3 linked regions of the Drosophila melanogaster genome follow. The protein of the gene in region 1 interacts with the protein of each later gene in a pairwise test. Each region holds a gene or a part of one and is shown on either strand. Other genes may lie near its edges.

Region 1 (5,937 bases):
CACCAAGTCCACCAGTTCCTCAAAGGATGACCGCGACCAGGCGAAACGGAGTTAACCATGAAAGCGATTAAAGGCAAAATCAAACGAAACGAATACAAGAACAAGAATAACTTAAAGCTTTAAGAAGACGGCATGTTGCACATGTCGTTTGCATTACTTTGTATTATAGATGAATCTCCCCGCAGCAAATGTATCTGATGGCATTTATTTTTTTTTTTTATTCTATATAATTTTACTTTTAAACCAAGTTCACCTCTCTCATTAGTCCTTACTAATTTATTTCATCAGCACATTTTCCAAGAAATTTCCGAAACACCAAAAACTAATCGATAATAAGCTTAAAACGACCCAGTCCGCTTTAAATATAATTTAGTTTTAAGCACAACAAAGATTTTAATCGAAATAGAAATGATAAGCGAAATGAATCGAACCAAAATAAAAACTTACGAACGTTACACATTTGTACCTCTTATTAAACAATAAACGAAGCAAATTAGTCCGTTACACTTACTTTCTAGCACATGGATTTTAAACTGTATTTGGCGTTATCCGCATTAAACAAGAACATTTTTTTAAACTAGATGCGCAAAAATGGAACTGGATTCTATACATTATTATTAATCTAAATGTATATGTGTGTGTTGCTATATGTGTATTAAACGAATATGTATCTTTGTAAATTACAGCCACTTGAAGATATTTATGAAATGTTAATGTCCCAAATTTATCAATGTACAACAATATCGAACAAATGAATATACTTTCAATTAAAATGTTTATTGAGTATCGGAACGATTCTTTTATTGGGAAAGATTAAAATTCGGAACGATTCTTAATTTTTGTTTTATGATCCTTGATCCTCCTCTTCTACTTTCAAAAGTAGGATGATTCATCATTGTCAACAGATTGAAATCTCTCTCTTAAAATCTTTCCCTCATGGAAATTGGCGCAATTGAAATCCCTGTTTTTGCATATGGCTGTCTTCCTTAAGTCGTCCCAATACCCATATCAAAACATTGCCACTCTGATGATCTCAGAAACCTCCCCCACGAAGAAAACTGGAAACGAAATGTACGAAATCAGTGCCATCAGATGTCAGCAAATGTCGCCGGTGCCTTGCTGCACTGTTTGTTAACTTCTCGATTTCATGGCTGCGATTGCAGCGACCCCTGGTCTTGGATTTGAACTGGAACTCACCCTCGGGCAGGTGGATTTCGTCAATGGCCCTATCCCCGAATACCCAATCTCGCAAAATGCGCCAAACAAGTGTCACAGCTGACCGAGGCCGAGGAACCGGGCAACCGGCAGCAGAAGTGCGGCACAATCCCAATACTTGTGGGAATGTCTCCAGTACACTTTCTCACGATGCACATGCACCGACCGACCCATCGCAGCACCGGCTGTTTGCCGCTTGCCTGGGTGGTGCTATGCTGCCGTCCCGTTGGTGGTGGTGGTTGTTGCGGTGGTTGCTGCTGCTGCTTCTGCTGCTGATGATGGTGCTCCGTGCCCGTAAGTGTAACGCAATGTCGCGCCAAAGAGGAAATGAGGTCTGTGTGACTGTGCGCCAAAAGGGAAGAGGCCACACTGCAAGAAAATTCGAACTCTAAACTAGCAACTTATAAAGATGGCTTATAAAGACTTCGGGATTGCATTGCTTTTAAAGCAAAGTAATGCAAATTATAGTTTAGTTACAGAATTTAATATATTATTTATGCACATTTTGCATATTTCTGAATATTATATTTCAGTTTACAAAACAACATTTTTTCCAGTGCACCTGCACGCATACAAGCAGAAACCCACACCCATATGCAACAATGGCATTGCCTCGACAAGATTGGCTCTTTGGCTTAAGTGAGGACGGCACGCATGGGGCTCGGCTCTCTTTTCTCGAGGGAAGTGGGAACCAGGGAGCACGGATGGCTGCCAGGCAGGTCGAGGTCATGTCGCTGCTGATGTCGTGTGTGCGTGTGGTGCGCTGCTGGTGGTGGTGGTTGATTGCTCCGACTCTTTCCTCCTGCTCTTCCTCGGAGACCCTTCTTCAGACTGTTGCGCCGGCGCACGGCAACAGCACGAGGAAGAGAGACGCCCGAAGAGAGCGCGCTACTAGCTCGGGCGAAGATCCGAAGAACGTGTTATTGGACCCTAGTCAATACACTGAAAATAACTTTAAGGCATTCTACTATTATGACCAAGGTTAAAGAAGCTTTGATTAAAAATAAATTAATTTCTAAATATATAAAAGTTTCTAAAGTACAATAAAACTATTTTTTCTTTGTTTATACTTATCGTTGTAAGATACTTTAGATGCATGAGAAACTTTGGTTTCCAGAATGGACATCCAAAGAGTATGCTTCGAAACTTGTATATTTTAAAAGTAGTTTATATAAAGTATAGATTTTAAAAATTGTTCTCTGCCACATATGGATTGTTTTCAGTGCAAGAAGAGAGCCTCAGCGGCTTCCGCCCGATCCAATTTTTTTGATGTTGCACACGTGCAACGCCGAGGGAATCTTGCCACAAGCAGAGAGTGACCCGATTGATGCTTCGTTGTGATCGTCGGCGTGTAGGAGCGTTGTGATCGCAGTGCGTGGTGGCAGTTAGGGGAGGATTTCGATTTCGCAAGTGTACGGCACCAGCAGCTACAAAAAGGATCAGCTTACCTTGCGGCAAGATCATTTCTCAAGTGACTACCGTGCAGTGCGGAGCGGCAGCAGCGACATCGCAACATCGCAACTTTATTTACAAACAATCACCACACCAAATCAAAACCCATTATACACAATGGCCGTTCAGGGTCAGAGATTTATGACCAAGACTCAGCATTACCGCAAGGTGACCAAACCCCTCCTGGAGCGCAAAAGACGCGCCCGGATGAACCTGTATCTGGACGAACTCAAGGATCTCATCGTGGACACCATGGATGCGCAGGGCGAACAGGTCAGCAAGCTGGAGAAAGCTGACATCTTAGAGCTCACCGTCAACTATCTGAAAGCGCAACAGCAGCAGCGAGTGGCCAATCCTCAATCCCCACCACCCGACCAAGTTAACCTGGACAAATTTCGGGCCGGATACACCCAGGCTGCCTACGAGGTCTCGCACATATTCTCTACGGTTCCCGGCTTGGATCTCAAATTCGGCACCCACCTGATGAAGCAATTGGGTCACCAGCTCAAGGACATGAAACAGGAAGAAGAAATCATCGATATGGCCGAAGAACCAGTTAATCTAGCCGACCAAAAACGTTCAAAGTCTCCGCGAGAAGAGGATATTCATCATGGCGAAGAAGTCTGGCGCCCCTGGTGAAGGGCATTCCATATATACGCAACCAATTAACATTGATAGCTTTACTACTCAGTTTCATTAAGAAACAATCCAAGTTTTCCAAGGTCTAGTGTAAACATTTGCCTCAGAATCGTATTTAGTTGGTAGTTGATTTGATATGATGTGATGTTCCTGTGATAGTTCTTAAGTTCGTATTTTGTATTTGATCTCCCATAGGCTTACTGATTCATGTATTTAATTCATTGTAATTTATTTCATCAACTTTGCAAGAGCTTCCCCACCGAGCTTCCACTTAGCCTCATTAAGAACAAATTTTTGTGTATGTTTTAAAATTATATTTTTCGCTTTACACCATTAAGTATAAGCCATGAACATTTGAATAATAAAATGAACGTAAACTGAAATTTTAAAAGCTTTATATTATTTGGAATATGAACATAAACAAGGTTGCTATAATCCATAGGTACATAGGTACAAAATGTTATAATATATATAATTATTATATTATAATTATAATTTATAAGCTCTTATTTAGCTTTCTTCGATATAAAAGATATATCAGATATATTTAAATATATTTCTAAAATCTAATTTGAAATATATAGAAAATATATATTTTCCTTGGAATTTTAATAATTTATAATTCTAAATACCAAATACCGTTATACTGTCCACTTGAATTCAAGTCAATTGAACTCTCCCCACTCCGTTTACAAATCCCTGTAATGCACCACCCATCCAACCATCCATCCATTACAAAGGTCCTGGAACGCGAGCAACTTACAGCCGAAAGTGTGTCCACAGCGAGCCACACGCGAGCAGCGCTCCAGGATCAGCATCGCTGGCCCCTTTTACATGGCGGATGGAGGGAGAGGCAGAGGTCCTGCCGGGTCGGGGGGATCGGGAAGTCGTACACGCATTAAGCGCACTCGACGCACACGAGCAATGTTCCCACAGGATCATAACAGCCGACCAACAAGTGCAGGATGCCTCTGTCCTTGTCCCTTCCTCTGCCACCAAACACGAACCCGATCCAATTTGGAATGCCAACGGTAAACAGGAAGTTGTCGAGGAATCGCAACGCCTCGTCCTTATCCTTATCCCCATCCCCCGGCGGAGGTCCCCGCTATCGTGGGAACCCCGGAGGACCCCGATGAGATGGCATAATGCAAGCAGTTCATTATCCTTATGCCCCTCACCCTGCCATGCCATAGTCAAATCATAACACACAAATCTAGAAACGGCAGCTGTTCGCTCTGCAAATTCCCATGCCCATGGCCGTGGCCATGCTCGGCTGCTTTTTGCGGGCAGGTGAGCGAGTCGATGTGAGAAACCGAGTAGGAAAGTGTTTCCCACGATCCTGGCAGCGATCCTGCTCCCTGGCCCGTTTGATAAGGGTGCCGGGGCCAACAATAAGAAATCGCCCGAACAATAAGGAGCGGTCTCAAGAAGCGGAAGGGTCGGTACCGAGCAACCCTCATGCCAGCACACGAAGCGTGTCCCCGTCCCTTTTGCTCCTCGAATGCCAGCACACACGACGACGACGACGATCCCTTTGGCCCATTTTTTGGGGGTTGTTTCTGGCCAGCTATATAAGGCCGATCACCGAAGGTCTAGCAACACACAACGACTTCGACTGTCGGAGCAGCAAGAGCTCAAAGAACTCAGCTTACATCGAAACTACAAAAAGAACAATAAGAAACACACAAAATGTCGTCGCTACAAATGTCCGAGATGTCCAAGACCTATCAGTACCGCAAGGTGATGAAGCCCATGCTGGAGAGGAAGCGTCGTGCCAGAATCAACAAGTGCCTGGACGAGCTAAAGGATCTTATGGTTGCCACCTTGGAGTCCGAGGGCGAGCACGTCACCCGTTTGGAGAAAGCCGATATCCTGGAACTTACCGTCACCCATTTGCAAAAGATGAAGCAGCAGCGTCAGCACAAGCGGGCTTCCGGCGATGAGAGCTTGACTCCGGCGGAGGGCTTCCGTTCCGGCTACATCCATGCCGTCAATGAGGTCTCCCGTTCACTCTCCCAGCTGCCCGGCATGAATGTCAGCCTAGGCACTCAGCTAATGACCCACCTGGGACAGCGCCTCAATCAGATCCAGCCAGCAGAAAAGGAAGTCTTGCCGGTGACCGCTCCACTCTCCGTGCACATCGCCAATCGGGATGCCTACTCCGTGCCCATTTCGCCAATCTCCAGCTACGCCGGCAGTCCCAACTCCAATACCAGTTCGACCAGCCATTCCCTGTTGACCACCATCGATGTGACCAAGATGGAGGACGACAGCGAGGACGAGGAGAACGTCTGGCGTCCCTGGTAGATAGGATTACTTCACACCACAACTGAAAAAAAAAAAAACGAAGGAGAGATCATAGAAAGTAAAAGTCTTCCGAGTCACTGGATTTCCACCAGTCGACTCCCACCTAGTTATAAGTAAACACCATAAACACACAAAGCTTTAGATGAGGACGCGCAGTTCATGTGATAACTAAATAAATAATAAATTATATAGCTAAAATTGAAAGATCACGACTTTTTCTGCCACTATCTAGTGACTCACATGCAAATTGCTCAGACACTCCCATGTCCAGACAGTTTCCAATTGTCTGCGGTCTAGAACGGAAACGCTAGAAACGCAATAGCA
Region 2 (6,797 bases), on another chromosome or scaffold:
ACGATGGTGCGGAAAACGGGATCCTGCAGAATGCCCAGAATGGTGCTAAGGCTCTCGGCCGTCTGCATTTGCAGCTTGGGGTCGTCGGACTCATCGATGCCCTTCTTCACTGCCTCGATCTGCTGAAGGGCGCTGGAAATATCCGCGCTGAGGTGCATCTTGCGTCAGTGGGCGTGGTCAGCGAGCGGTGCGCGGTGCGGTCAGTGGAGCGTGGTCCCCGTCTCTATCCCACTTCCGCTGGCGTTTCTATGGACTTCTGGGTGGGGGCGTTGTGGCGTTGGCACACTTTGTCCTAAACTGCAAAACGGGTAATTCGATTTGGGCTCTAAGTGGGACAGCTTCGGATCAGTTACTGTGCCGTTTGGATGCAGCGAGTTGTTTACCCTCTCCTATGCACTCTTTTCGGTGGCCACTTGCTCTGCTGCTGCTGCTGTAATTGATTTTTAATTATCTCTGAAATGGAATGCCAAATGCATTTTCTTTTCACAAACAGCTGATGGACAGGGTTGCCGAGCGGCTGCGTTGTGCATCGATAAGCAATCGACATAATCGGAACAGTTGCCACCTTTTCAAAATCAATTCAAATTCGACCGTTACATCTGCTAATTTAATTAAATCTAAGATTTTTGAATATAGTCTGCATGTGCTCGTATGTAATATGGCTATACGAAATAACCCAACAACATCTATCCTTTTAAACGCAAATTTTGAATTTAATTTCTCTGTACGCACAAATATCTGTGTTCCAAATACGGAAAAACAATAAGGTGTCTGCCATCAAACCATGTTACGTTCCTCCTCCTCCTCCAATTCTATTTCGAGCTTGCGGAATTCGCGGAAGAATTCGCGAGTGATATGCTTCATATGTGGAGTCAAGTACTTGGGAAAGATATCTGCAGAAGAAACAGAGAAACTATCAGAAACTATTGAAACCTCCAACAGAAAAGGAAAACCCACAATCAAATTCTATAATGAGATCCCCGAACTGCTCCACCTTCTTGTTGGCCTCCTTGATGGCCGTAACTGCATCCAAATTGCGGCACTTGGGGAGTCCCTCGAGGGGAACCACTTTGGTGTATCCCGGCTGCACTACGTCCGTAATGACCACCTTCAACTGGCGCCGGTCCAGCGTGCAAATGAAGAACGTGAAGCCGGTGAAGGCCTGGCACAGGCCAATAGACTGCCTGTAGACCAGGTCGTGTTGGTTTCTCCTCTCAAAGTCCGGATGCGGCTTGTCGGCGGCAATGAAAATAATATCACCCGGAATGGTGGCCGGATAGCGATCGCCCTCCTCCTTGAAGCAGAAGCGAGTTCCGGCCGTAGTTCCCGGGGCAATGTTCAGCTTTAAGGTGTGCTTGCGCTTCTCCAGCCGCGACTCCTTGGCGTCCACGATCTCCTGGCGCCACACGTTCATCAGCTTGACGCAGCCAGTGCGTACTTCCTCCAGCGACAGCTCGATGATCCTCTCCGTACTGGCGTCCTTGGAACGCACGCCAATGCCATGCTGGCGCGTAGCGTACAAGCTCGGTGGATTGGAGATCGCATCGATCACGTTGGCATACGGCGAGTAGCTACCGAAGACCCGCTCGTAGACCTTCATGTGGTCGCCGTCGTACTGATAGGGCGGAAAGTATCCGTTCGGCAGCATGACGCCCTCGAACAAACCCGCCTCGCCAAAGCGATCGTATATGGCCCGGTACAGATCGTTGCCCAGCACATCGAAGGCCATGTTGACGTAGGCCCACTGCCTGGGCTCGCCCATGGGTGAGAGGTGCGTGAGACGACCCTCCTGGGCCAGCGGCACAAAGTCCTGCTCGTCCTTCTTGTCGCGATGTGGGCAAAGCCGAATGGCCAGGCGGCGGTAGGCCAGAGTAATCTGCTCCTTGGTGGCGCCTCTGGGCTGATCCAGCACCGCGTAGTAGTCCAGCTCCGGCCGGTTCATTGTTTCTATTCGGAGTCGAAGCGTATAACAACTGGCAGAAGTGTTCACAGAATGTTTGACGTGTGACTGAGAATTTATTCAAATTATATACAATAACTCAACTGACGCAGGATCTGGCTATGGATGAAATATGCTTGTGGACAAATACATTAAGATTAGAGCTATGGTGTAGATGGAAACGTGGCGGCGATCAGTCAACGTCCTCGGTGCTGACGCCAGTGTAGATGGGCTCCTCCTTGGCTGCACTCTCTGATTTGGCATCGTCGGTCTTCTCCTCGCCACCGGCGACGTCATCCGAGTCATCTTCCTCCTTCTTGTCACCCTCCAAGTCAGCGGCATTGGGCACCCAGAGACCAGAGTCCACACAACGCTTCATGTGCAGCTTGGCGACGTCCACGGGCATGGCCGCAATGGTCTTCTGCAGCAGCTCTACGTCGCGGGACTCGAAACAGGCCTTTAGTTCCTGCGGAGCAAATACATGAAAAGTTAGTCAAGTAATTCCCATACAGTGAATCACTAGAACGTACATCGGGCAGGGATTCAAAGACATCGGCTGGGTCCAGACCACCAGGTCCGAGGCGCTCCTTGCGCTCCTCCTCTTCGGCCTGGGCTATCGCCTCCTGGATCTTCTCCTGCGCACGCTTCTGGATACGTCCTTTGAAACCTTCGATCTCGCTGTCGAACTGCGCGCGGTACTCGGGATGACAGTGCTGGATCTTTGAGAAGAAGGAGCTGACACAGGCGCGAGGATCCACGTCCAGCTGTTTGGCCAACTCTAGAATGTACTGCATGCAAATGCACTGATGCGCCACGTGGGCCATCAGCTCGTGCTTCTCCTCCATTTCCAGGTTGATGGACCAAATGACTAGGTAGTTGGCCGTCTCCTCGCCCACCAAGTGAAGATGCTCCTGCAGAAACCGCTTCGAATCGTCGTACTTGCGCAGCATGCCATACTGCTGGCAGAGCTTCTCGTTCTCCTTGACGAATTGCTTCATGCGCTGCTCTCGCTCTTCCTCGGACAGATTCTCATCCGGCTTGCGGCCGGCCTTCTTGTTGATTACGGTCTTCTCAAAGCCGGGCTTGCTGATGGTGTCCACGTTCCAGGGTGTTTTCTTTTCCTTCTTAATCATCTCGCTCTCGATGCGGTCCAGCTCTTTGCCCTCGGCCTCGATCTTTTCGAGCTCTTTCTGTAGGCGATACAAATTAGGGATTAAGCATTGCGATGAAAGATGGATGGCCACTTAGGATGATAGTCAATCATAAGCTTGACAATAAGAATAAATTAGATGGATTGAGAACATAGGGAACTCCCAGACCAGGCATTAGCCTAAGCAACAAGTGCGCAGTGCATTCGGTGCAATGACCCACCTTCAGGGCCTCCTCGTCGCCATCCTTCTTTGAGATCCGCTCCTTGACGTCCATGAGGCGCGCCTGGTAGCTCTGGCGCTTTTTCTTAAGCTCGTCCTTCTCGTGGTCCATCTCCGCCATGCGCTCCACGCGCGCCTGGTGCCGCCAGCGGAACAGAGAAGGCGTGTCTATGTTTGGGTGAGTGTCGTCCTCATCATCCGAAATCTAAAAGGTAGTGTGCCGATTAGGAGGACTTTTTGGGTTGGCACCCAGCAGTGGGCTCACCTCGATGTTCTTCCACTTGCTGTAGTCCACCATTTTGCTGTTTCTTTGCTTCGGATTTATATTTGAATGTAAATGCTGCAGGTTTTTGTTCTTTTTCGGCTGCTTCCTTTTTTTGGATTGCTCTGGAAATTAGTGTGACCGCAGGGCTATTGCGGAATAATACCATAATAAGCCCCGCTTACTCTGGGGCCGCGCTAGGAAATAGTAGTCATGCATGAGTGCACCAGATTGAATTGAAATACCCTGTCGTTTTTAATTTATTTACATCATCTACTACTACTCATCTACATCTACTAGAAAAATAATGAGATGACTAAGGCGCCAAAGCGACCAGAAAGAGAACTATGTTTATAATCGATTGACATCGATAGAAATCGCGATATTGATGTCAATGTTCTGCGCCAATCGGCCGACATATTGAAAAAAACTGCGGTCCCGTGAAATAGAGGCGCTCCGTGAAAATTACGAATAACTACTGCAAATCAATAGTTAAATTAACAAAGTAACTGTGAACAAATAGATTGCCATCAAAGTGTAAGTTTCTACATAGTTTTCGTCCGTAGCTCACTGTTAGTTGGGTTCAAAATGCAATTGAAATTCGGTGTGCGTGCAAAGTGAAAATTTTTCGGGTCAACGCCACACCCTCGAAGGCAACACAAAAATCCAATTAACGGGGCTAAAGTGAGAGAAAAGTCTTGGCCATAACTGAAAAGCTATGCTGTGCAATGTCACTGCTTGATTAGTAATAGAAATTTTGAATTTCTTTCAAAATTCTTGACTCCAATTGCAACTTAAGAAAAAGTATCTGGTGCTCCTGTTGTGCATGTGTGTGTGCGGTTACGCAGGAGTAGAGAACGCTGTGTGTGTGTACGTCATCGGGTGGTGGTGGTGGTGCGGCAACTTCAGATGAGAGAAAGCGGGAGAGCACACTCTCCCTCTCTTTGCTTGTTTGTGTTTCCAAGATATTTAAGTACGAATAAAAAAAAAGCAAAGTGCTTGCCTTACATATGCCAAAGTTTTGGGTGGGCAAGTGTCCTTGACTTTCTTGAAGGCCTGTGTTTGCATAGGATATTTTTGTTTGCTTGCCAGGCGATTCCGTGTTCGTAGTAGTCTTGCGTACCAGTTGATTTTTTGTGCCTCTTCATTGATTGCTCATAATTCCAAAGCGTACGCATTACGTCATCCTCTGCTATTTTCTGATAGACACTTCAATTAATGTTTCGCTCTCTCCGTCTCTTTCTATTCGCTCTCTTTTTGAGGTGCGATCTCTCGCAATTGCCGTTTCTGATGTTGTTTTTGTTTGCCACCGCGATAAACAGTTAAATTGGCCTGCCTGTGTGTTTGTATGTGAGCTCCAACATTGTATGGCTGCCAAGCCCTGGGCTGTTGCCATCTCCCTCTGATTTATTTCAATTTCCTGTGGCAAAGAGTGTTGTTTGTTTGTTTCTCTGCATGCTGACCCACCCTCTCCCCTAAATGATGTCATTGCTTGCTCTGCTGACCCCTTCTAAAGGGGCGATTTTGAAGTATTAAGTATTAAAATCCGGACATTCCACGGATTTCCTTATCGTTAGTGCTAATTGTATTTCATGTTACTCTATTGACAAAAATTCACTCCTTGGCTTTTCTCTATTAATCATTCTTGGCCAATCTTAACTATTTTACCTTCTGTGTAGTGTAGCTGAGAATTTCAGATATTTCTCTGCTTTTCTTATCTGAGTTGTTTTTTTTTTTTTTTTAGCACTAAAAATTGGAAACTATTAGAAATGTGATTTTATGGGCTATCAACTAAGTTTGGAAATTAAAATAAATGATATCTTATAAGAATTCATAGAAAATATTTATACTTTAACAACAAAAAATTGTTGATGCAATATTTAGATACTTTTAGAAACCTACTATTCTTTTATTGTTAAGGTTAATACCTTTACAAATTTGTTTAGCATACATGTGCGTTTTTCCAAACCTGACCTACAAATATATTCCTCATAATTTCCCGCCTAACTATAACCTTATTACAACTTTTAGTACAGGTGATGAAGTCATCACAACTCGTAGCATTTTACGTGTCGTTTACGTTGATTTAGTTTATTGTGTGAAAACATATTGTTTATACAGAAAAAAAAGAAAATCCTGCAACTTCAACCCATCCAAACAACTCTAAAAATAACTTAGAAAACGAAACCCACAAAAGCCGAGCCAACATTTCCCTTCTCTCCTCTTCCGTTGCAGGGAAACAAAAGGGAGAGAGGGATTGGAGGAGGGCCAAAGGTTGAAAATAGCTCGAGCTAAGGCACAGAAAATAGATCACCGGAACATGACTGCAGAGCTCAAAGCGTCAGATACAGAAATGACGAAGCCGGAAGAGAGGCATCTGCTGCAGCTGCTTGCGCAACTGGAGAAGGTGCCGCACCACCAGCTGGAGCAAAAGTTCGTCGCCTATTTTAAAAAGGTTGGCAAGGGTGATAACCAGAGTAACTGCACACTAGAGGACTTCGCCACCTACTTTTTAGGTGCACTGCGTCAAAGCACAAAGAGGTACTACTATTCGCAAAACTCGGAGACACCCGTGTTTCCCTTGACCCCCATCCATCAGCTCAAGCCGCCGGTCGCCGATGTGGTCAAGGAGGAGGAACAGCAGCAGCTCAATGAGTCCTCGATCCTTAGCCGGAGCAGCTGCAGTATGTCCTCCACTTCGAATACTACTCCGGCTCCCCAGCAGCCGCAGGGCAGAAGATCAACGCCAGGAAGTGGCGCCCAGTTTTGCAGCACGCCTAACAGAAGCGGCGGTGGGGGAGCAGGAGGAGGGCACAGCATCTGCTTGGGCAACTTTCTGGTCAATACACCTATCCAGAGCCATCAGCGATCTAAGAAGAAGATCACGCCCCAAAAACAGCAGCAAAATCAACATGCATCATTGGGTTCAGGAACTGGAGCTGGAGCCACGCCACAATCCAAGCCGCGGCGACGTGTCTTACCCATGACCATTAGCAAGAATGTTTCGGCCAGCTCCTCTTTCGGAGACACCAGTTCCTTTAGCAATGAAAATAACTTTTGGCGAATCTCGCAGAGCAGCGAAATCTTCGATAGAAGCCAAGAAGCAGCCCTGGAAATGGAGGCCCGCAAGTTCCTGTTGCTCAAAAAGCAGGAAATCAAAAGCGAAGCGCCTGTGAATGTTAGTCAACAGGAGAGGACACCCGAAGATGAGGTTTTCCCTGAGGAA
Region 3 (7,484 bases), about 13 Mb from region 1:
GCTAAAATACTTGAGTGCTTTCACATCTCGAAGACGAGCGATCCGGAGGCGTAGCTAACGCTGGAGTCCTCAATGTCCTGACACTGGCTGCTCTGGGCGTACTTGAGGAACTTGAAACTCATCTTGTCGTAGCCCTGATCCTGCAGTGCCTTCACGGCGCCTAGCATTACTCCGATGGGATGGCGTCCGCATATCGTATTGTTGTACTTGCGCAAGTACTCGGTGAAGGAGTGCGGATTGAGCGACTCAATGATGTCCATGCCCTGCTTGTCCAGCTTCTCGATGGACTTGTGAATCGCTCCGCAGGAGCTGTCATAGTAGGTATAGCTGAAGCGATGGCCCCAGTGGCAAAAGTCGGAAGATATCACAAACAGATTGGTGGGGTCCATCAGATACGAGGACAGCAGGCTGCCGTACTGCGCCTCCTGTTCGGGATTGAGCGAACCCACCAGAATAGGCACAATGGTGAACTGATCCTTGTAGCTGCAGCAGTGCTATTACTTAGTAAAACGCCTCGAGCATATATTCAAATCCACTTACTCCTCCATCACTTTGGCAATGTAGGGTAAATGCATCTCGATGGAGTGTTCATCCTCGTCAGTCTTCATGTCCATCCAAGAAAACTTTCCAGTCTTCTCAAGCTCAGAGTTGACTAAATATAAATAATAAATGAAATCAATAAAACATGCAATGCACCTTGTATTTGCAATCGACATACTCTGAGCATCAATTTTGAGATCATAGAGGGGTGTCCTGTACTTCTTCGCCACGGATAAGGCGCAGCCACGCAGACGCACATGATGCGAGGGACCCAGTATGAAGATTCGCTTGCTGCAAGCAAAGGTTCAATAAAACCGGATTGTCTTCGCGGAAATCTCGAATGTGAACTTCTTACACGACAACTGGGCTAACTTGGCGATAGGCAAAGGCAGCGCAGGCTCCACAGTACGTATATCCAGCATGTCTGTGGAATATCAATCAGTAAGTTCAATGGTGCTTATTGCAAGAATTCGGTTAAATCTTACGGAGCAATGATGGCACGAGCCGGTCCATGGGACAAATCTGCGGCACCCAGCCAACGATCCAACTGTCTCGAGAGCTCGGCGCCTGAAAAGCAAAGTAAATACATTTATTAACGAATAAATAATATCGTAAACCATAATTCCCTGCTCAGGAATTGGTTTCAGTTTCGAAATCAACGAAAATAGTTGGCCAGTCGTTGCCTAGCAGCAAACAAACAAATATTTCCTGGTTTATAAGACTTTCACTAAATCGAGACTTATCACAGCAGCGATATAAAGTTATTAAATATTGATTTAAATTTTAGTTGAACATTCCGCGATGGAAACTGATAAGGAAAAACAAAGCGATGAGCTCATGAATCGCATTCGGAACGAGCTTACAGCTATATTATCTCAAGAGTAAGTTATCAAGTTACCCAATATATATATATATATATAAAAGAAGAAAAAAATCAATCCATTTATAATCCTACAACAGGGCTGCTGATGATTCCGACAAGGAGGCGTCACAGGAACTGCTCCTGAGTCCCAATCCGCTGCCCATTTTCGGGCCCATAAGGAAAACAAGGAAAGCAAAATCGAGGAGTTCCAAGAAGAACAATAGTAAGGCCTCCTCCTCGTCCGCTGGCAGTACAAAGAGTTCGTCGTCGGGTACCAGATCATCTGAAGATCGTTTAACTGGAGGTGGAGCCCAGGAGAAGCCATCGGATCCGGTCTCCACATCCTCGAGCTATTCGCTAAGATCAGGATATGACGCTCCGCCCGTGGAGGCCAGTGCCCGTGCCGACTTCCTTGAATCGCAAGCGGCCAAAAGCATCGACGAAGATGTCCGGAAGATGCAGCTGGAGCTCAAGCAGAGCTACGAACTCTTCCAGGGCATTGGCGAGAAATTGGAGTCGGTTAGCTTCACGGGCTTGAAGGACCGCATACGGGACCTGCACCTAAACGAATCCAACAACGAGTTGGGCAAAGCGACGACTGCAGAGCTTCAGATGATGTTCGACCAGCGTTTCCTGCAAAATCGCCTGGACAAGCTATCCACGGACGCCACGCAGGGATTCCGTCGGCATCCCGGCGAATTCGGCGACATACCCGAGCTGAGCACCTTCTTCCAGGCATGCACTCAGTTGGAACGCGGACTGGATGCACTGCGTCAGCAGCGGCGGCGCAACAGCGAGCTGGAGAAGCGTCTGTGCTGGGCCACCGAAATCGCATACGATCGCATGGACGAGATTCGCAATGCGGTTGGCTCGGATCCGGAAAAGAACTTCTGAATTGGTGACCTGTAGTTACATTTTTGGTTCACCCTAAGGTTCATTACCCGCACACAAACACACACACAGGCAAACACGCACAGGTGCAATACATATGCGTTTATCCCACACCCATAGGCGATGCAATAATTGATTGTGTTATCTTCTGGGCCGCAGCTGGGTTGTTACTCACCCGAGTCCGTGTACCAGCTGCCTGCATGGGTTGCTCTTCTGGCCGACATTTTGTGCGAGATCCCTAATCGGTCTGTTTAGTTAGTAAGAGCTATTAACTGGCCGTTACTTGTAGAAAAAACGAGTTCTTTGTTATTGGTACAGCAGTGTGACCGTCGTCTTGTTTTTGAAATAAACACGTTCTCTGGATTCGCTGATCAGCGGTCACACTTCTTCAGGGCTGCATTAAGTACTTAAATATCGTTTTTTTTTTGGTATAATCATATATACCATTAATACTTTTTTATTATTCTAAATAATAAATCACACAAATAAAATACAATACATAAGGTAACGTAATTTTATTTAAGTGTTGTTTTTTATTAATTTCCATAAATGAAATCGCATAACATATACAACTGAAACTCACGGAAGTCGAAAGTCGGAATTCTGCAATACCAACATTTCAAACTATACCATAATTCTTGCAGTTTGCCTGCGCGCACCGAGGTATTTTCGAACGACCCGTGTGCGGTCACACTGTTCGCATAGCGTCATTGCTGTACTAAAACCTAAAAATCCGCCGTGTTCGTATTCCGCCATTTTGAAAGCTGCGAGTGGAATTTGGACGCGTTGCTGGTAAATTAATTGTGGGAAAACTGCCCAAAAAGTGCATAAAATTTGTGAAAAGTGGTCGGCAACGGTGCATGAGACCCGCCGCCAAGTGTTTGTCCCCGAAAATTGTGTGTGGCCGCGTTTTTGGCACGTGAATTTCTTGCCCAATTGTGAACTCGCAAAAAAAGAAAAAGAAAAGAGAGAAGAAAACCGACGCCGCCGTCGCCGCCGCCACAAAGGAATAGGCGAATAAGCGAGAGAAAAAAAGGCGAAAACGAGAGCTGAAAATCAAATTGTGCGCCGCTGATTGCGTTTCAGCTATTTAATAATACCACAATCGAAAATCCGCGGCAGCGGCGATTTTTCCACGGATTACTACACCATATATTTCCCATTTGCCTTTCCGTTTGCAACGAGTGTGCGCCTGTGCCTGTGTGCGTGCGTGTGTGTGAGTGTGCGATAAACGTGTACAAGAAAAATTTAAACGTGCAGAATTCTGATGAATTTTAAAGCGGAACTGCTATTGCCTGTATAGGTGATGCGGGTGTGCGTGTGTGGGTACGCACACACACATGACCAAGTATTGTTGCGGTTTAATGCAAAAGTCGAGTGAGTGCGTGTGTGAGTGAGTGAGAGAGAGAGAGAGAGAGCAATGCCTGCCATATTCTATGCAAAACATAAATAAAATTGTGCAATAATTTCCCCGCACACGCACACAGCCACAGATACATACACTCTCTTTGTAATTTATATTTTTTTCCGCCCGCCTAGTGACAATACACACGCAAGGTTCACTGCGCAACGTCCCCCTTTTCTCAAGCACCCCCCTTTTGCCCACGCCACTGCAACATGCTGTCTCATCGTTGTTGTTTTGCCGCCGCCACATTTGGTGCGACAGAGAGAGAAAGAGCGAGCTAGCGCGAGTGCAAGAGAAAGGGTGGGAGGGAGAGGCCAAAAGCAACGAGTTTGAAAACCAACTAAAGCCTCATGTTGACACATTTCAACCGGGAGTTTTCGTTCTTTCGCTCGGATTAAAAGCCTTTAAAGGGTGAAAGTGCTGCTTATCGTTTCTTCTTCGCGAACTAAAGCTTTAAAAGTATAAATAGCTTTTATTTCCTGCGCCCGCATATTGATTGCAAATTACAAGCGCACACACTTACTCAACAACCGTTGCGATTGTTTGTTTGTGTGTGTTTATGCCGATTTGAATACACAACCAAGTGAAAAAGTTTGATCAACTTACGAATGTCCATTCAAATTGATGCTTGTTTCTAGTTTTCTTACAATTTTTGCGCTTGTCGTGTTTTTGTCATAGCTTCTTCTATCTCTATCGCTCTCTCTCTTCTCTCTTGTTCGTTCGCCCTTTCACTGTTCGACGTGCCTGTACCCATCACACACATACAAACGTATACGTCATACACACACACACACGCACACATGAAGAGGCAGACAGACAAGCAACTCTGGGCTCCCCCCTCCCTAAACCTCTCCCCTCCCAGCCACATACTGCCGCACTTGCAACGGGAATGTTGTTGGTATTGCTCGCAGTGCTCAAAACTCCGAAGAGGATTACAAATGGTGTTTTTGTTTTTGCCCAAAAACGGAAATACAGACAAACTTCTGCCACATAAAGAGTTCAAATTATAGCGACTGTTAGTTGTTTAGTCATTTGTTGTATTCCCCGCAACTTTTTGCGCACTTTTGGGGTATCTAGACTGATTACAAACCCTTAAAAGCAGCAGGCACAATTGAAATTATTGATTGCCTTAAAGTTAAAGTTAATTGCGGTTATGAAATTTTTGGCTAATTGTTCGTCATTGGGCAAAAATGAAATGCTGAGGAATTTGCTTTATAAAAACACTTAAATTTATAGTTATTAGCCACTGAATTTGTATTGCAGTCGTTAAGAATTCTTCCTACCCAATGTAGTTTTCGCTATAGAATAAATAGAAATATGGAAATATGTGGCAGAGAGAGCCGCTTTTCCCGTTTCCACTTCAATATTTGCATTGCCATGGAATTTTCTATATATATAGTCCATCGATAACTGTACATGTTGCTGAATTTGTTGTTACTAGTTTTTTTGGCGCAACAACGTTTTCCGCTTCTTGTCACTGCCCTTTTTTGGCAAATAATAAATTTGATTGTGTATGGGCTGCCCACTCCCACTAGCTAACGGTTATTTATTGTCAATGCCAGGCGATGCCGCCCACTGCCACGCCTCGTACGACCCCCCCCCCCAATCCGTTTGATGCTCTGTGTTTTTGCGCAATGTTTGTTGTTGTGTGTTTGCCGCCGACTGCGCGCGTGAAAAAATGCACACCTGCCCAAAGAATTTCACACTTGGTGGTGCACGGGGCGCAAAACAAAGCGAAAGCAGCCACCAAAATAGCAGGCAAACGTTTAAATTTAAACACAAAAGTCCGAGGAACTAAAATTCGACCAGAAACACAATGGCAGCCATGTGTGCCTCATATTCTTGTATTTTTTTTCTGCGCTCTATCTCTATCGATCTGAAAGGCAAATACAACGCAATTCGGTTGATGGTACAGGCTCTAATACCCTTAAAGCTAAATTGTCCAAGTTATAAATTTGTTGAAAATGAATGATAGTTTACAAATTCGGATGTCTTTCATCTATTCAGCGGTGGAAAGATGTATTTTGGCCAGCTAATCGTTGCATGTTTGATGGCAAACCTTTCGCCATATCTGCTATACTCCTGCGCAAGCACTTTTCAAATGAAAACAGAAAACACACACTTTCAGATGGCTCAGCCAAATTCGTCCAAAACAACAGATGCAGCGATATGGCAACAATAATAAATAGAAATAGCCAAGCAGCCGCAAAACGCAGAATCAGCAATTCGTAAGCGTGCGAGGCAATAATATATACATATATATATATATATAAATTGTATTTCATTTGATTTTTTCCCACTTCTGGTCACTTGCCACTCGGCTATGCTGGCTTGCAGTTTTTCGATTTGCGTCATTCGCAGACCGCGCGCACCACCAATCAATATTATAAAAAAAAAAAACAACAACAACAACAACAAAAAACGAAACAAGACAACAAAAACCAAAAAACAAGTGGGAAATACGAGAAAAGGCGAGGGAAAACAATGGGAAAGCAACGCAGAATGGCACCTACATGCATACATACTACATACATAGACAAATGAAAACATTGGCCAATGTCAGGCAAACAGTTTAAGTGCTTTCGTTTGGTAGTACAGTAAATACCATGGCTAAATTATTGCTGAAGGTCCGAACTCGTTCGTAATCGCGTTATCTGCACTTTTCCAACCGCGAAAACCGAATATCAGCGAAAATGGCCAATTCGGAAATTTACCCAGTTAATGCGGTGTGTTTATATACTTGTAGGTGGAATAATCTGGCTAAAACAATCTCAAATTTAAATTGGAAGGAATTTGGAAAACGCAATGCTCTGATTTTCTATTGAAAAATGGTTTGACTTTTTATAGCTTATTGGCAAAAAATGTATTTAACATTTAGATATTTTCGCAATTCAACGATTTCTGGTTTGAATTTCTTACATTTTCCATGTTCTATTTTCATTTCTACACTCCCATCTATAAATTCTATAAATTCACTTATGGCATTGCGGGCAACTGATTTATGATGTAAGAGTATGAATACCCATACCCACAACTTTCGCCGGCTTGAAAAATCGCATTTGCGAGTGCCGAAATATTGTGGCATTAATATCGCGCTTAATGTGAATGGCCATCACTTTAGTTACTGCGAGCCACGAGGCTTTTGGCGTCATCTTGAAAGCCGGCTTTAAGTGCATATGCATGAAACAGAAAGCTGAAATGGTTAGCCAGCGTGGTGTGGAGGGGACGGGGGCTGCTGGCAGGAAAAGCGCGGGAACGCAACGTCACGACAAAACGGCAGCAGCCGTTAATTCAGGCAAAAGTACAAAGAAAAGGGAGCGGGTGGGGTAAACAAGTTACGAGCACCGACGACGACTGACTTAAAGTTGAAAAATCGCTGGCAGTCGTCGCAGCAACGACGCATGAGCAGTTGCACTTTGAATTTTCCAGTTGCAGTTGTCGATTTCCCAACCCTCGAGCAGCATTTTCACCATTTCCCCGCAGCAGCATCTCAACTGTGCTTTAAAAGTTGTTGCCCACAAATGCGCATGACTTATTTAAACGTGTTTTAAGGCTGCTCAACACACACACACACACACAACGCACACATACAGCAAACAATTTAAGCGAACATGGCTTTCAGGCAGGAAGAAATTGTGGCAAAAACGAGAAAAAGAAATGAAAATAAAATCGAGTGGAAAAAAGAACCGAGGCACACACCGAGTTCGCCAGCGGCTCTTTAGCGCGCTGACTTTCCTCTTTTTGCCGCCACTCTGTTATCGTCCGCCTTGTCGTTTCATGTTGATA

The links. Proteins that work in one complex are often made in the same cells at the same time.
Region 2: the proteins of E(spl)mdelta-HLH (region 1) and Cdc37 interact in binary tests that used the Drosophila melanogaster proteins (3 or more experiments, as listed by UniProt).
Region 3: the proteins of E(spl)mdelta-HLH (region 1) and CtBP interact in a two-hybrid assay, tested with the Drosophila melanogaster proteins (one study listed by BioGRID).

Annotation. Positions count from the first base shown.
Region 1 is NT_033777.3:25,994,948-26,000,884, forward strand, and holds E(spl)mdelta-HLH (enhancer of split mdelta, helix-loop-helix), read left to right. Parts: upstream 1-2,673; 5' UTR 2,674-2,784; coding exon 2,785-3,306; 3' UTR 3,307-3,686; downstream 3,687-5,937. Other genes in the region: CG43116 (uncharacterized protein), read right to left, coding at 1,227-1,584, 1,806-1,945; E(spl)mgamma-HLH (enhancer of split mgamma, helix-loop-helix), read left to right, coding at 4,996-5,613. UniProt on the Drosophila melanogaster protein: Transcriptional repressor of genes that require a bHLH protein for their transcription. May serve as a transcriptional regulator of the Achaete-scute complex (AS-C) genes. Contributes to the neural-epidermal lineage decision during early neurogenesis.
Region 2 is NT_037436.4:1,792,510-1,799,306, reverse strand, and holds Cdc37 (cell division cycle 37), read right to left. Parts: upstream 3,916-6,797; 5' UTR 3,608-3,915; coding exon 3,575-3,607; intron 3,515-3,574; coding exon 3,311-3,514; intron 3,130-3,310; coding exon 2,470-3,129; intron 2,454-2,469; exon of another isoform or gene 2,406-2,453; coding exon 2,133-2,405; 3' UTR 2,000-2,132; downstream 1-1,999. Other genes in the region: patj, read right to left, coding at 1-158; CG12020 (uncharacterized protein), read right to left, coding at 778-893, 958-1,942; dlt (discs lost), read left to right, coding at 5,892-6,797. UniProt on the Drosophila melanogaster protein: Co-chaperone that binds to numerous kinases and promotes their interaction with the Hsp90 complex, resulting in stabilization and promotion of their activity. Required for cytokinesis and chromosome segregation in mitosis and male meiosis.
Region 3 is NT_033777.3:13,008,664-13,016,147, forward strand, and holds the start of CtBP (C-terminal binding protein), read left to right. Parts: upstream 1-2,985; 5' UTR 2,986-3,085; exon of another isoform or gene 3,086-3,509; intron 3,510-7,484. Other genes in the region: CG8031 (uncharacterized protein), read right to left, coding at 21-483, 541-652, 719-831, 896-964, 1,026-1,107, 2,469-2,517; CG11656 (uncharacterized protein), read left to right, coding at 1,342-1,421, 1,501-2,296. UniProt on the Drosophila melanogaster protein: Corepressor targeting diverse transcription regulators. Hairy-interacting protein required for embryonic segmentation and hairy-mediated transcriptional repression.